Linked DNA regions of Drosophila melanogaster. The protein of the gene in region 2 purifies or fractionates together with the protein of the main gene of each other region. This does not show direct contact. Each region holds a gene or a part of one and is shown on either strand. Other genes may lie near its edges.

Region 1 (7,783 bases), on a different chromosome or scaffold from region 2:
TTTTTCTTTTAGTTTTTAAAAAGTTTGTTGTCTGTGATATACGTAATTTATAAGTTTTCATTTTGGTAACTTGCTGCTTTCATTCACCATCGTCAGTAACCAAAACTGCAATTTGAGGAACCTACTCCTGCCCAAAACGATCGATTTAAGCCAGAGTGGGAAACTGACGCTCATCGTTGACCTTGGGAGCGGTGTTCTGTTGTCGCTCAAAACGCTTATTCGGCCCTGGACCGCTGTTCTGATTGTTGTTCTGGTTGTTTCCCGGACCGCGACGATCGATGGGTGGCCTTTGATTTTGAGCGGATGAACCGCCGCCCTCGTTATTATGCTGCTGGCCATCCCGTGGGCCACGGTTTCCACCCTCACGATTATCTCGGCCGCCCTCACGATTGCCGCCATCGCGGTTGCCACCCTCGCTGCGTGGTCCGCCTCCAAATCCACCGGGTCTGGGGCCTCCACGGCCACCGCGTCCACCGAAACCGCCAGGTCCGCCACGACGACCATCGTTGAAATTGAACTGAATGTCCAGGACGCGCTGTTGCCTGCCCACACGCTGTGGATAAAGGGCAGGGTCGTACTCGAGCTCCTCTTCGCTGTCGTTCTCCTTCTTCTTGTTGCTAGTTAGGACGACCATTTTCTTCCATTGTGTGGTGTCCTCACCTGCGGGAAATATTGATTGTAGATTAATTTCTAGATGATAGGCCATCATTTAGAGTTAAGCTAAGATCGGTTTGATTTTCAATTTTATACTTCTTTTATACGGATTTTAGCTCAATATGATTTGTAACTTTGGTTGTTGGCTTGGCGAAAAGGTTTCTTAGAATAACGGAAGTTAAACTATCATTCCGTGGTATCGAATTCAAATTATTAACCATAAAAAAATTATGCATTGTTCACGCACCTTCTCCAGCCTTGCGGATATTAAAGGTTGGCTTGATGCGCTGTCCTTGCTGTGCCTTCCACTCGTCCAAGGTCAGCTCTTTGGCTTCCTCCTCGGCGGTAGCCTGCTCGTTTTGTGGTTCAGTGCCAGATTCATCGGCCTTGGCGCCGCCCTCGGCATTGGTCACATTGGTTTCGCTTTCGTTCTTGTTCACATCATCAATAGCCTCCTTGACCGATCCCCAGTTGTGGGAGCCAGCTCCATCGCGTTTGTCAATTGACTTCACACCTGTGCATAAAGAAAGTATCAAATATTAATAATGATTTATGTCTGCTTAAATTCAGAAACGTCAAGAAGCGGAAAATCTGAGCTTCTATATTTGCAAATTTTAGCCACAGCTATAGTGCAACTTGCCTGCAAGCCCTAAAGTAAGTTTTTCTGCTTAATTTATTAACTGAATACTTTAATTATTAGCCAAATAATGGTCTATTTTATCAATACCCCACTAATTAGGTCAATTGAGAAGTAACCACGATAGGGGGACTATATTCACTGCCCTCGCTCGCATAGTCACAGATAAGCCGACAGTAGCAGCCCCAGTTCACTGTAATCAGATTCAGTGGGGGAACTATTCCAACCCCTGTTTCCCCCCAATGATTATGCCTGCAAAGGCCTCCTACAAGCACTTGCGTTAGACGGGAATGCCGCCAAGAAGATGGGCGAACTATTTTTAACACATTTTCTCTTTCGATTTGTGCCGCAGTGCTTCTTGTTTCTGTTGCTGCCGGCCGCTGTGATATTATAATTTTGGATATTCCAAAAACGAAGCGGTCGGTCTAAGCAGGCAGTGGAAAACGGGGGAAAACGCGGCGAAATAGATTTCATTCAATGGAAAGAAGTGTGATGTAGCTTGTTGAATGTTCTGTCCGACCATTAGTATTGATTTGACTCACTTATCCCCCACGTGAGTGGGAGATTTGCCTGTGTTGTTTGACCATTGCCCATAAGTTCATCGGGATTTTGTGTGCCACAAATTGGTTTACACCGTTCTCCCGCACTTTTCGTGAAATTGCTTGGCATAAACAATATATATTTAAACTGATTTATAATGCAACTGTTTAAATATTACTATCCATTAAATAAGATTGGCAATCTGCTCGGAGCAGGCTAATAAATATTTTATACTTTGAAATACATTAAATTCATGATTTAGATTAGCTATAGAAATCTTAAATCAATTGATGGAAATTTCACATAGTTTATTAAAAGGAATCGCATTTCAAACACCGAACGAATTCCAGTTTCTTTTAAATATTTGTTGTGTACACAGAAGATTGGAATCATGTTGCTTGAAGGCGACTAATAATTTCTCATGACTATAAACATGGTAATTGGTTACGCGTAAACTGTGGATGGAATTTGTTTTTCCTGCGTTGCCTGCTGAGTTTTATTTTCTGGTTGTCATGGAGTGTGGCTTTTGGTTTATTTGTTAATTTTTTCGTATGGGCGCGCTCGTTTTATGGTTATGTCTACCCCTTGGTGGTTCAACTTTAGTTTCGATCTTATCAACAGAAACATTAACTATTCATATGCGAAAAAATGGTCATTAATCTAAACGATTTACTCCCTAAATATCCCATCTTCTCTATCCTTTTTACTAAGTATACTTCTCTGTAAAGACTTTAATGTGATCTACACTGTATCTACTTGACTTGACCCCTAACCCATTTGGTACCTTAATGCCTTAATGAAATGACCACACACTCACCAGTTCTATCGGAACCCGACTGGCGGTCGAACTCGCGCTTCCTGTTCTGGCCATCGTAGTTGCGGTTCTGACGCTGGGGACGATCTCCGCCAGCACCTGGGCCTCCACCTGGTCCGCGGTAAGGTCGCGACTGCTGGCCATCGGGTGCTCCGACGTTTTCGCGGACATTGCGGCGATTGTTGCGCTGCTCACGAGTCTCGGCATTGCCATTCTGTTGACGGAAGTTTACGCTGCGCTGCTGCTGGCCACCTTGTCCTTGACCCTGTCCTTGACCGCTACCAAATTCACGTGTTCGGTTGGCGCCACCTCCTTGCCGTGGAGCACCCTGTTGTTTGTAATTGCTGCTGGCGTTATTATTGAACTGCTGCTGTTTGTTGTCGGCCGATGGAGTGAACTTCTTGCCATCGGTTTTGTTTAACGCATTATTGGGCTTGTTCTCCTTTTCGGCCTGATTTGGTTTCTTGGCATTGGGTCCACCAATATTGGATCCTGCGTTCGCCTTGTTATTGCTGTTGGCCACCTTGTTGGCGGTCGTTTTGGTGGCCGCTGCAGCAGCAGCTGACGGTTGCTTCTTCTTGCCAGCTGCTGCTGCGGCAGCAGCGGCCGTCGGCGCCACAAGATTATCTAATGGATCGCTGACATCGTCGTCCATGAACAAAAGTTCATAACGATTTTTACCGGCGCTGTCCATGATTTTGTGGGTGGGTGTGTTTTTCGTTGCTAGCTGGCTGCCGCTTTAATTGCCTTTTTGCTCTGTAAAAAGAAATAAATACACACAGTTTTAGTGGGAATTGATTGATTTTCCTTTTTCGCCCGCCGCCTCTCACACCCTGTGAGATTCGATAGGATTTCTTTTTCGTGTCACAAACTATGGTCTAATATGGCATATATTCGCTGGATTTATGGTTTACGACATTAACACGTGGACTAACGTGAATTTACTCAATTTATTTAGGCCCTTTGGGTGGATTTTTCTTACTTTTCTGCTGGCTGTTTGGTGGCTGCTGCTCTCTAACCTTAATTTTCAGTGTTTCTTCTTCGCCTCGCTGCTAGTATTACCTACACACACTGCCTCACGCGATTCCACACGCACATGGGCCAAATCACGCACACCACAGTCAGCACGAACAGAGCGCCCACATGTGTTCTTGGTATACATAGAAAAACAGAAACTCACGTTTTTCAACGCGTTTCGCGGCGAATGTCGCAAATCGATTCGAATGGCAGCTGTGTTTAGCGGGCTCTCGATTTGGCGGGCACTTTTTAGTTTGAAGTGCAAGCCAATTTCATTAGTTGGAGAATATGTGAAAAATTGAGCAAATTATATAAATTGGTACAAAATGTTGGAGCATATATTATAAGAATTCATAATTCAATACTTTAGAAATGAACGTATTAAGTTATTGCTTTTATACTTATATAGAATTAATTTTTTTTTCTTTCAGCCAAATTAAAAAAAAAATATCAATATGTCTGACGACTGGGATGATGAGGTTCGTATTGCTTCGTACAAAGAATATATGCTTACTAAGCCTATCTATTTTAGCCCATTGTTGATACTCGCGGCGCCCGCGGTGGAGATTGGAGCGATGATGAGGACACGGCCAAGAGCTTCAGCGGCGAAGCTGAAGGCGATGGTGTTGGAGGGAGCGGTGGTGAAGGCGGCGGCTACCAAGGAGGAAATCGAGATGTGTTCGGAAGGATCGGCGGAGGCAGAGGAGGAGGAGCTGGAGGTTATCGAGGAGGAAATCGAGATGGAGGGGGCTTCCACGGTGGACGTCGCGAGGGAGAAAGGGACTTCCGCGGTGGAGAAGGCGGCTTCCGCGGTGGACAAGGCGGCTCCCGCGGTGGACAAGGCGGCTCCCGCGGGGGACAAGGCGGCTTCCGTGGTGGAGAAGGCGGCTTCCGCGGTCGGCTGTACGAAAACGAGGATGGTGAGTAAACCTTTTGGACGACATGTTAAATTTTGGGTTATGGTCATTTGAGTCATTCCTGCTGAATTCCATGTGGTGTGCTTTGTTTTGTCAAGTAGTTTGTTTTCTTTTGTTTTGTGTATGCATATTTGCCCAATTGGTGGCAAATTGGCCAACATTCTAGCTAAGGAACTGCCGCCGATCCCATCTAGCTGCGATAAGGATGAGGTGGGCGCATTCATCGATCAGCTGGACTTGAGCAAGTACACGACCAGCCTAGCACTGATTCGAAAATTGCGTGACTACTTGCTGACTGCATTTAAGGCTTTGGTGAACCAAGCATGGGCTTCTCTCGAGAAATTAGCTCAAGAAAAGCGTGCACAAAAGGCACATCAGATACGCGAAACAACAGATATGATGAATCGCCTTATGGAGGACATGGGCCGATTGATTCGTGAAGGTGAACATGAGGAAGCAAATGGGATTGGGATGGGATTTCAAAGCATTGATGCGGATTGCAGAGCTGATTTGTCGCAATGGAGGAATTTACAGCAAGTTGTGATGCCGCAATCTTCGGAGATCAGAGATGGACAAACAAACAGGACAAGCGGTACTGAGGGCGGTCGATCAGGAGGTTTAACCGATGGCGATGACTTAACCGAAATACAAAGCGCCGCATACGCCGTGTATCATCAGGTTTTGGATCGAGGTTACCAAACGGGTCGACGGCTGTATGATGATAATCAAGGAGCATTGAGAGAAGATTCTATTCCAACAGAAGACCGAGAACACCCAGAAAATAATCAAGTGGATGGATCAACATATGGAGTGACTAGATTTCTGCACTGGCTAAGTGAGAACTTTGTCACTCGGCATGAAATAAGGGCCGTACGTTTTGGCAGTCCGCATATGGTTTTTCAATCTTATGACTGGCCAGAGTCTCCAAAGCAGCACATTTCGACGGTCCATCAAAAAGGCATATTTTATTCTCAGCCCTTAATTAGGACACGCATAATAGCCACTGTTGCGAGCGAGCCAAACAATTCGAGTAGTGGTCAGCTCAGCAGTATGGTAAACTTGGCACGACATCAGCGGTCGCAAAATCAGGAAACGCCAGATGGAATTTACGTTAGTCGCTACAATGCAACTGGAGATGAGGAGACTCCCTGCTCCGCAACCGGAGTCCCCGGCAGAGTTGTGGCTCTGCGTGCTTCGAGCACCCCAAATGAACATAGGAGCGATCCAGGGTACTTAAACCAACTCTAACTAGTCTAGTCTAGCGCTTTTCTTTCTTACCATCTATGGATACTTTTTATTCCCTTTTTCCAATGAGCGGTTGTGTAGAAAAGAGCAGATTTCAAACATTTAAAGATTACATAAAAGAAAAAAAAAAACACCAAATTTAGCCAGACACCGAAACAATTTATAGGAAATTTGATTAGAGAAGTACCTTAATGCAGTATAAATTCAGCTTACTTTTCTATATGTACATATTTTCCATCTCTTCGCTTACTTTCGTTTCCTTCTCTATAACTTAAATGAACACATAAGCTAAGTAATGTCCGTTTCACAGCTTGTCTTTTATACCCAATTTGACTTACGAAGATGGGACCATACCATCATTGGCAGCAGGCGGCGCTGCATCGACACCGTTGGCTCCATCACTGCCAGCAGAGCATTCATTGGGGTTAGAAATGGATAGCAACACTTTGGTGGTACCAGCTGATGCGGATGAAACCCGCTTAGTCGGACATCCAGGATCAACAGTGGTTCGTTCTCGGCTTGGAGGCCCTCCAGCATCAACACCTTTACTATCATTCCGACCTAGACTGCCGGTCATTGACGAAGAGCATCATCTACGCTTTACCAGGGTGTCACGCGAGCTGCAAATGAGTGTTGCTTTCCCGCCGGAAGAGACAACACTAAGCGAGCAACGTGAGTGGGGCTCGATTTTCCGACCACGTGATGAAATGGTTAACTATGCCGAAGGTCCACCTCCTCGCCAAACACAAAGGGCGCGTCGTCGCTCGCGTACACGCAGACGACGTAATCGTATCGCTTCAGCTGCCAGCCCGCAACTAACACCGGAACGAATTGTCCGTCGCGAGGAAGCCTTCCAAAGCAGCCGACATATTGCAGCCACTTTTATGTCCAGCTTGCTACAAAATGCAGCTGGAGAAGTGACGACGTCTTCAGGTCTGGCAGTAACCCGTTCAGTGAAAGAAATAACGACATCAGTCCATATCACCCGAAATGTACTACAAGAGGAGGTACCACCGACCACAGAAGCAACGACGACCTCCCTAGAAGTTGCACAGGCAACAGGGTATTCGGATTCTGGGGCTTGTATGCAATCTGCAGCGTTCTCTCAAGATCTTCCTGTAGTAGCTCCCTTGGAGATATCTGGAAATGCATCAAGTGACCAAGCATCATTTGATCAAGCTTTGGCCTTACTGCCTCCCATAAATTCCACTCCAATAGGTCAGCATCCAATTGCTGTTTTCGGACCTAAAACCGAAATTGAAATTAAACCCCAAAAAATGGACATCTCTAATATGATGAATACATCGGTTCCACCAATGCCAATGGAAGTCGACGAAGTTCCACTGGAGGTATCAAACACTTTGGCCAATATGAGCGATCACGCTTATGTGACTGATATACAGATACTACCGTCGTTGCAACTCAATTCTTTGAATCTTGTTAGCACCAATATTACAGACAATGCAGTAAATATCGCCCCATCGACATCAACAAATGATTTGCAAACGCCAAGTGACCGCAGAACATCAATGCAAAATCAACTATATCGAGTGTCCATGAACGATTTGGCATATATTTCACAACACGCTAATGTGGTTCGTCTGATGGTAGATCGTCAAGAGGAACTAGGGGCACAGGTCAGCTCCCTGGGGCCTTTTAAGGAAAATAGCCAAGGCGCGCTAAATTTTAGTACAATGCCCGCTGTCAAAGTCTACGATCCACGTATAATTCAGAACATTCAGAAGGATAAGATGAGAGTAGTTCATGGGCTCTTCGGTGCTCTTATCAGACAGTCCCAGGTTGATATGCACAATGCACCATTCATCCGAAATCGCAAGGATGCGTTGATGGCATATCGCTTTTTACTCGAGCTTAAGACTGCAAATATTATAAGTCTTAGCTCGGATGGTAGATTTTTCGGGCTGCTCTAATCAAATAAAAAGCATTTTAATTTTAAAA
Region 2 (7,839 bases):
AGATGGAAAGCATACGAATTTATAATGGGTATCCGTATCCGTATCTGCATCCGTATCCATATCCGTATCTGTATCCGTATCCCCAATTCGGTTGCGTTCTCCACCTGCCGCGTTGCCTGGCCAATTTAAAACAATTTCCGAGCCAATTATGAAAATGAATTATTGTTTGTTAAGTTTTATTTTATAAGACGGCGCTGCACTGACCGAAGGGATATTTTGAGAGTATAACCCAATTTAATCAAATTTCGCAGCAATTATTTTGTTTTTTATGTTTACAATTTGTGTTTTACGTTTTAGTGCAATTTTTTGGCATACATACATATTTATACAGATATTTTTGTATTCTTTTCGCAGCGTTCTAAATGAGTCATTCTAGTTTTTATTAGTTGAATTTATAAACACAAAATTACTTAACGGAAATTTCAAGCGTAACCCGTTGATTTCCTATCAACTCGATAATATGTATCTATAAAATATAATTTAGCTATTTCTACGTATGTCTGTGCATGTGTGTATAAATCAAGCGGGCGAAGTTGTGCAATTGTTAGAAAATTTTTAAAAGAAAGATATTTAGTAAAAATACGAAAATCAGAAATCGATGTTGAAAAACAAAACGCTCGTGCAATGACAAACAAAATTTTATTAATAAAGCGTTAAACAAACAAATTAAAGACAACATGAAATATACATTATGATATATTTATATATACAAGTATGAATAATGTACGACTATTTACTATTTTTTGGCTATAGCATTTTAAACGCATATATTGTATGTTTAACGTTGAAAATGGAAAAAACAAACAAAACAAGAAAATACATCAAAAAAAATTGTAAAACTTTTATGATTGGTTGCTGTAATTTGGCAAAAGTAAAAGTGCAATTCCAAATAAAATTCAAACAACCATACAAACAGCAGGAATCTGGGTCTTTTATTTATTTATTATCTATGGAAAAACAATACTTTTTCTGGAATGTAAAACTATTTTTCACTTAAAGGCGGAAAAATAAAAATAATGCTTTCTAGCAGTGGTGATTAAATTTATTGATTCTTACTGATGTCTTCTTCCAAAATAAAATTTAAAAAAAAAAACTAGTAAATTAAAATTTTTTTCCTATTTTAAACTTCCCCGATAATCAGATGCCAGTTACTCAACTATTGGAAATGCGAACGCAAATTAGATATTGGTGAATAAAATAAGAAAAAAAATTAAAATTGTTAAAAATTGTAAGCGTGGCTTTTCGGCGGTTTGTGGGAGTAATAGTAGTTTGGCAGATCAATAGAAATTTACAAGACTAATCAAAATATGAAAAATATCACATTTTGCATAACTGTGGGCGTGGCAATTTAAAGTTTTTTGGCAGATCGATGGAAATTTACAAGACTAATAAAAATATGAAAAATGTCAAAACATTTTGAAAATGTGCGTGGGAAGTTTTGGGGGCTTTCCGTAATCTCAATTTTCTAGCTTCTTATTCATCCTGAGATCTCGACGTTCGTACGGACTGACAGATGGACGGAAAGACGGACATGGCTAGATCGACTCGGCTATTGGTCCTTATATATATAATATATATAATATATTATAATATATATAATTTATTAGGTCGAAATCGGTTTCTTTTGCCGGATACATGCTTTTCAACGAATATAGCATACATTTGACTCAACAAGCAACATGTATACAAAACATGTATAAAAATATACAAATATAAATAGAGTCCCCACTTGAATGGCCCGCCTAGTCCGTATGTTCCTATCAATAATCGATAACAGAAAACACTTTAGCTGTGCCGCTCAATAACTTATCGCCCACCCCTAAGGCCTCCCATCACTAAAAAAGACTGTGACGCATTAAAAAATCGTCTATTAAAAGTCGTCAGTTAACTCGAAACCCTCAAAAGTAAATCATGGGAAAAAAAGATAGTGAGTTGTCCCACCTGCAGGACCATACAGCTATTCAAATATATGCACTTTCCAATTACCACCCCAGAGAACAAGAAAGGAGGACAGGATAGCGCTGCAGCACCACAGCCCCAGCAGCAGCAAAAGCAACAACAACAACGGCAGCAACAACCACAGCAGCTGCAACAACCACAGCAGCTGCAACAACCACAGCAGCTGCAACAACCACAGCAGCAGCAACAACAACAACCGCATCAGCAACAACAACAAAGTAAGTGCAAAGTGCGATATATCGGCGTAGGCAAAAAATAGATGTATGCATGCATGTACATACATATGTTTTGTACATATGGATTTACCATTTGCAATCAAATGCTCCATAAACTTTCGAAATGCCTGGGAATTCCCGAATTCGTGGCAGCCATGATGAAATTCAACTGCCATGGTTGTATAGAACCTATGTATGTGTGTATTATACTTAAAGGTGAATTCTACTGTATATAACAGTTATTGAATTTCCCCTTAACATAACTAAATTAAAATTCCTTTATATTTAAAAAAATGAATTTTGCTATGAAATGTAACAGTTGTGCTTTAGGCAGAAGCATCAAACAATTAAGAATTAAAATCTGCTCAAATCTGTAAATCTTAATCTTAATTTATACCAGATCCGACATTTTAACTCAATTATAAACTTATTAAAAATCTGAAAGATGAAGCGAAATTGAACATTTGACATCAATATATCTTTACATTTAAGGTTATGTACATACAGTTTGTCAAGAAACTGTTTACACACTGTGAAATAAGTTGAATTTTTGACTTTAAAGCTAAAAATAAAGGGTTTTTTGCTTAATTAAACGCAATTTTTTTATAAAATATAATTAAACAATATTTATTTTACTTATAAATAAAAAACAAATTAAAAATATTAAATATACAAGAAAATAAACAACAAATTCCAGGTTTACACACTTTTGAGACTGTCAAGAAACTCTTTACACATTTTGTTTTCCTACTTTGTTTTGTTCTTTTTCTTAGAACGAACTCGATTTTTCCGTTATTTTTGGCTTCGCATTGCTTTTTACAACGCTTCTATTGAAATTTGTTGACTTTGCTTGTGAAATTTTGCTGATCAAACGTGCTTAAAGCGAATTATTAAATTTAATAAAATGCCTGGAAAGAGATTAACTTTTGAAGTTACCCAATTAATAAACTATAACCACCAGTTGGGAAAATCTTTTCCAGAATTAGTATAAATGTTTCCTGTATCCCGTAAGACCGTCTACAATGTTTTAAAAGGCTCGGAAAAAGAGGGCAGGCTTGAACCTAAGAGTGGTGGTGGACGGAAAATTAAAATTAAAAAGCGTGTAGACCGCTTTATTATGCGAATAGTGATTGCGAACCCCCGAATCTCGGTCAGATCACTTGCTCTGGATATCAGGCAAGAATGCCACCTAACTGTGTCACACGAAACTGTGCGCCAAGTCATCCTACGCCATAGGTACTCTTCAAGATTTGCAAGGAAAAACCCTTTGCTATCAGATGCCAATATGGAAAAGCGTCATTAATTCGCTGTGAGCATGATGGATCATGCGGAAGAGTACTGGGATGACGTCATATTTTGTGACGAAACAAAAATGATGCTCTTTTATAACGACGGGCCAAGCAGAGTATGGCGCAAACCGTTGAGTGCGCTAGAAAAACAAAATATCATTCCAACGATAAAATTTGGAAAAATGTCACTGATGATGTGGGGCTGTATCACCAGCCGTGGAGTGGGAAAACTAGCCTTAATTGAGAGCACAATAAATGCCGTGCAATATCTAGAAATGTTAAAAAACAAATTTGAAGGCCAGTGTAGAAAAAATTAGTCTGGTTAGCAACAACAAGCCAAATTTTAAGTTTTACCAGGACATGATCAGAAACATAAAGAGTGCAATGTACGCACCTGGCGCCTTAATAACTGTGGTAAAGTGATCGATACGCCCCCTCAGAGTCCTGATCTGAACCCCATTGAAAATTTGTGGACCTACTTAAAGAAGAAGGTGGCAAAAAGGGACCTAAAACACAACAACAGCTTATGACTGTAATAGTCGAAGAGTGTGAAAAGATCCCGTTTGAATATGACCTGCAAAAACTTGTCCAATCCATGAAAAAAAGGCTTCAACTTGTAGCTAAAGCCAATGGGGAACATACTACATACCAAAACTTTTAAAATTTTAATAAAATAATTAAAAAATTTAGGATTAAACTTCGATTTAGTGTTTTGTGTAAAGAGTTTCTTGACAGTCTCAAAAGTGTGTAAACTTGGAATTTGTTGTTTATTTTCTTGTATATTTAATATTTTTAATTTGTTTTTTGATTTATAAGTAAAATTAATATTGTTTAATTATATTTTATAAAAAAATTGCGTTTAATTAAGCAAAAAACCCTTTATTTTTAGCTTTAAAATCAAAAATTCAACTTATTTCACAGTGTGTAAACAGTTTCTTGACAAACTGTATGTATTTTAAAGTGATACAAATTATTTTCGCGTTAGCAAATTCAAATCAGCCAAGTGAATACTTTTCGAAGAGTTTGCTTGCAGTTTTTTCGAAACCTAACACCTATTGTAATAAACATTCTTTGTCGATTTCTAAATCTAGGTTCGAGACAACAGCCATCCACAAGCTCAGGCGGATCCCGTGCATCTGGGTTCCAGCAAGGAGGCCAACAGCAAAAATCCCAAGACGCAGAAGGATGGACTGCACAGAAAAAACAAGGCAAACAGCAGGTACAAGGGTGGACTAAACAAGGTCAACAAGGTGGCCATCAGCAAGGACGACAAGGGCAAGACGGTGGCTACCAACAGCGTCCGCCTGGACAACAACAAGGTGGCCATCAGCAAGGACGACAAGGGCAAGAAGGTGGCTACCAACAGCGTCCGCCTGGACAACAACAAGGTGGCCATCAGCAAGGACGACAAGGGCAAGAAGGTGGCTACCAACAGCGTCCGTCTGGACAACAACAAGGTGGCCATCAGCAAGGACGACAAGGGCAAGAAGGTGGCTACCAACAGCGTCCGCCTGGACAACAACAAGGTGGCCATCAGCAAGGACGACAAGGGCAAGAAGGTGGCTACCAACAGCGTCCGTCTGGACAACAACAAGGTGGCCATCAGCAAGGACGACAAGGGCAAGAAGGTGGCTACCAACAGCGTCCGCCTGGACAACAACAAGGTGGCCATCAGCAAGGACGACAAGGGCAAGAAGGTGGCTACCAACAGCGTCCGCCTGGACAACAACAAGGTGGCCATGAGCAAGGACGACAAGGGCAAGAAGGTGGCTACCAACAGCGTCCGTCTGGACAACAACAAGGTGGCCATCAGCAAGGACGACAAGGGCAAGAAGGTGGCTACCAACAGCGTCCGTCTGGACAACAACAAGGTGGCCATCAGCAAGGACGACAAGGGCAAGAAGGTGGCTACCAACAGCGTCCGTCTGGACAACAACAAGGTGGCCATCAGCAAGGACGACAAGGGCAAGAAGGTGGCTACCAACAGCGTCCGCCTGGACAACAACCAAACCAAACCCAGAGCCAAGGCCAATACCAATCTCGTGGACCACCTCAGCAACAGCAGGCTGCCCCATTACCATTACCGCCTCAGCCAGCCGGGAGCATTAAGCGCGGAACAATCGGCAAACCCGGGCAAGTAGGCATCAACTATCTGGACCTTGACCTGTCCAAAATGCCTTCTGTGGCATACCACTATGACGTGAAGATCATGCCAGAGCGTCCCAAAAAGTTTTACAGACAGGCATTTGAACAATTTCGGGTGGACCAATTGGGCGGAGCAGTTCTTGCCTATGATGGCAAAGCCTCTTGCTACTCGGTGGATAAGCTGCCGTTAAATAGCCAAAATCCGGAAGTGACTGTAAGTTGCAAGAAATTGTCTACTAAGTTATGAACAACTGGGAGTAATAACATTTTTAAATGTATACAGTGGCAGTTAAATTTAATTTAATCTATACGATATTTTAGTTGTTTTTATTTCTTATTATTTTAGGTGACAGATCGTAATGGTCGTACTTTGCGCTACACGATCGAAATCAAGGAGACTGGTGACTCGACCATTGACCTTAAATCGTTAACTACGTAAATATAAATTATGTTTTTTATGGATACTCCTATTGAACGCGCTCCTCTGCAGTTATATGAATGACCGAATTTTCGACAAGCCCATGCGAGCAATGCAGTGCGTGGAGGTTGTTTTGGCTTCACCCTGCCACAACAAAGCCATCCGTGTCGGTCGTTCCTTCTTTAAGATGTCCGATCCTAATAATCGTCACGAACTGGATGATGGATACGAGGCCCTGGTCGGTCTGTATCAGGCATTTATGCTGGGCGATAGGCCATTTTTAAATGTAGATATATCGCACAAATCCTTTCCGATTTCAATGCCGATGATCGAATATTTGGAGCGATTTAGCTTAAAGGCTAAAATCAACAATACAACGAATTTAGATTATTCGCGACGCTTCCTTGAGCCATTCCTCAGAGGCATTAATGTGGTTTACACGCCTCCTCAGTCGTTTCAAAGCGCTCCAAGGGTATACCGTGTAAATGGTCTTTCTCGTGCCCCGGCCAGCAGTGAGACCTTCGAACACGATGGGAAGAAGGTCACCATTGCGTCCTACTTCCACAGTCGCAACTACCCATTGAAGTTTCCCCAACTCCATTGTCTGAACGTTGGATCTTCAATCAAGAGTATTCTGCTGCCCATCGAGCTATGCAGCATCGAGGAAGGTCAGGCCCTAAACGTGAGTTCACTAAATTCCTTTATATCTATATCTTGGTGTTCAATACCGTAAGCTATATTGTCATTACATATACCTATAAACATATGTATTTCACAGCGCAAGGATGGAGCAACTCAGGTGGCCAATATGATAAAGTACGCAGCCACATCGACGAACGTGCGAAAGCGCAAGATTATGAACTTGCTGCAATACTTCCAGCACAACCTGGATCCGACCATCAGTCGCTTTGGCATCCGCATTGCCAACGATTTTATTGTGGTAAGCACCCGCGTCCTAAGCCCACCTCAGGTTGAATATCATAGTAAGAGGTTTACTATGGTGAAGAACGGGTCGTGGCGCATGGATGGCATGAAGTTTCTGGAGCCCAAGCCCAAGGCGCACAAGTGTGCGGTCTTGTATTGCGATCCGAGGAGTGGTCGCAAAATGAACTATACCCAGCTGAATGACTTCGGGAACCTAATAATATCCCAAGGCAAGGCAGTCAACATAAGCTTGGATTCTGATGTGACATACAGACCGTTCACGGATGACGAACGCAGCCTAGACACTATTTTCGCGGATCTGAAGCGCAGCCAGCACGATCTGGCAATTGTGATTATTCCTCAGTTTAGAATTTCTTACGATACAATTAAGCAGAAGGCCGAGCTGCAGCATGGAATTTTGACGCAATGCATTAAGCAGTTCACCGTGGAACGAAAGTGTAATAATCAGACGATTGGAAATATTCTACTTAAGATCAACTCCAAGCTGAACGGCATCAACCACAAGATCAAGGATGATCCTCGTCTGCCGATGATGAAGAACACCATGTACATTGGAGCCGATGTGACCCATCCCTCTCCCGATCAGCGCGAGATTCCCAGTGTGGTCGGAGTAGCAGCCTCACACGATCCCTACGGAGCCAGTTATAACATGCAATATCGTTTGCAGCGAGGGGCTCTGGAGGAGATTGAGGACATGTTCTCGATTACTTTGGAGCACTTGCGCGTGTATAAAGAGTACCGTAACGCCTATCCTGATCATATCATCTACTACCGAGATGGCGTGAGCGACGGCCAGTTTCCGAAAATCAAAAACGAGGAACTGAGGTGTATTAAACAAGCCTGTGACAAGGTAAGTTTTTGAATTTCC

Evidence for each region.
Region 1: the proteins of AGO2 (region 2) and vig purify together in Drosophila melanogaster (affinity purification with western blotting; 3 studies listed by BioGRID, with this or other methods). This does not show direct contact.

The regions. Positions count from the first base shown.
Region 1 is NT_033779.5:15,064,289-15,072,071, forward strand, and holds the start of vig (vasa intronic gene), read right to left. Parts: upstream 6,029-7,783; 5' UTR 5,858-6,028; intron 5,809-5,857; coding exon of another isoform or gene 4,746-5,808; intron 4,583-4,745; coding exon of another isoform or gene 4,195-4,582; intron 4,142-4,194; coding exon of another isoform or gene 4,118-4,141; exon of another isoform or gene 4,094-4,117; intron 3,791-4,093; exon of another isoform or gene 3,628-3,790; intron 3,402-3,627; 5' UTR 3,340-3,401; coding exon 2,649-3,339; intron 1,169-2,648; coding exon 902-1,168; intron 661-901; coding exon 146-660; 3' UTR 1-145. Other genes in the region: solo (sisters on the loose), read left to right, coding at 4,118-4,141, 4,195-4,582, 4,746-5,808, 6,135-7,755; vas (vasa), read left to right, coding at 4,118-4,141, 4,195-4,582.
Region 2 is NT_037436.4:15,552,296-15,560,134, forward strand, and holds the start of AGO2 (argonaute 2), read left to right. Parts: upstream 1-1,817; 5' UTR 1,818-1,911; coding exon of another isoform or gene 1,912-1,927; 5' UTR 1,928-1,969; coding exon 1,970-2,177; intron 2,178-4,527; exon of another isoform or gene 4,528-4,554; coding exon 4,555-5,822; intron 5,823-5,954; coding exon 5,955-6,043; intron 6,044-6,098; coding exon 6,099-6,708; intron 6,709-6,804; coding exon 6,805-7,821; intron 7,822-7,839. UniProt on the Drosophila melanogaster protein: Essential for RNA interference (RNAi); double-stranded RNA induces potent and specific gene silencing.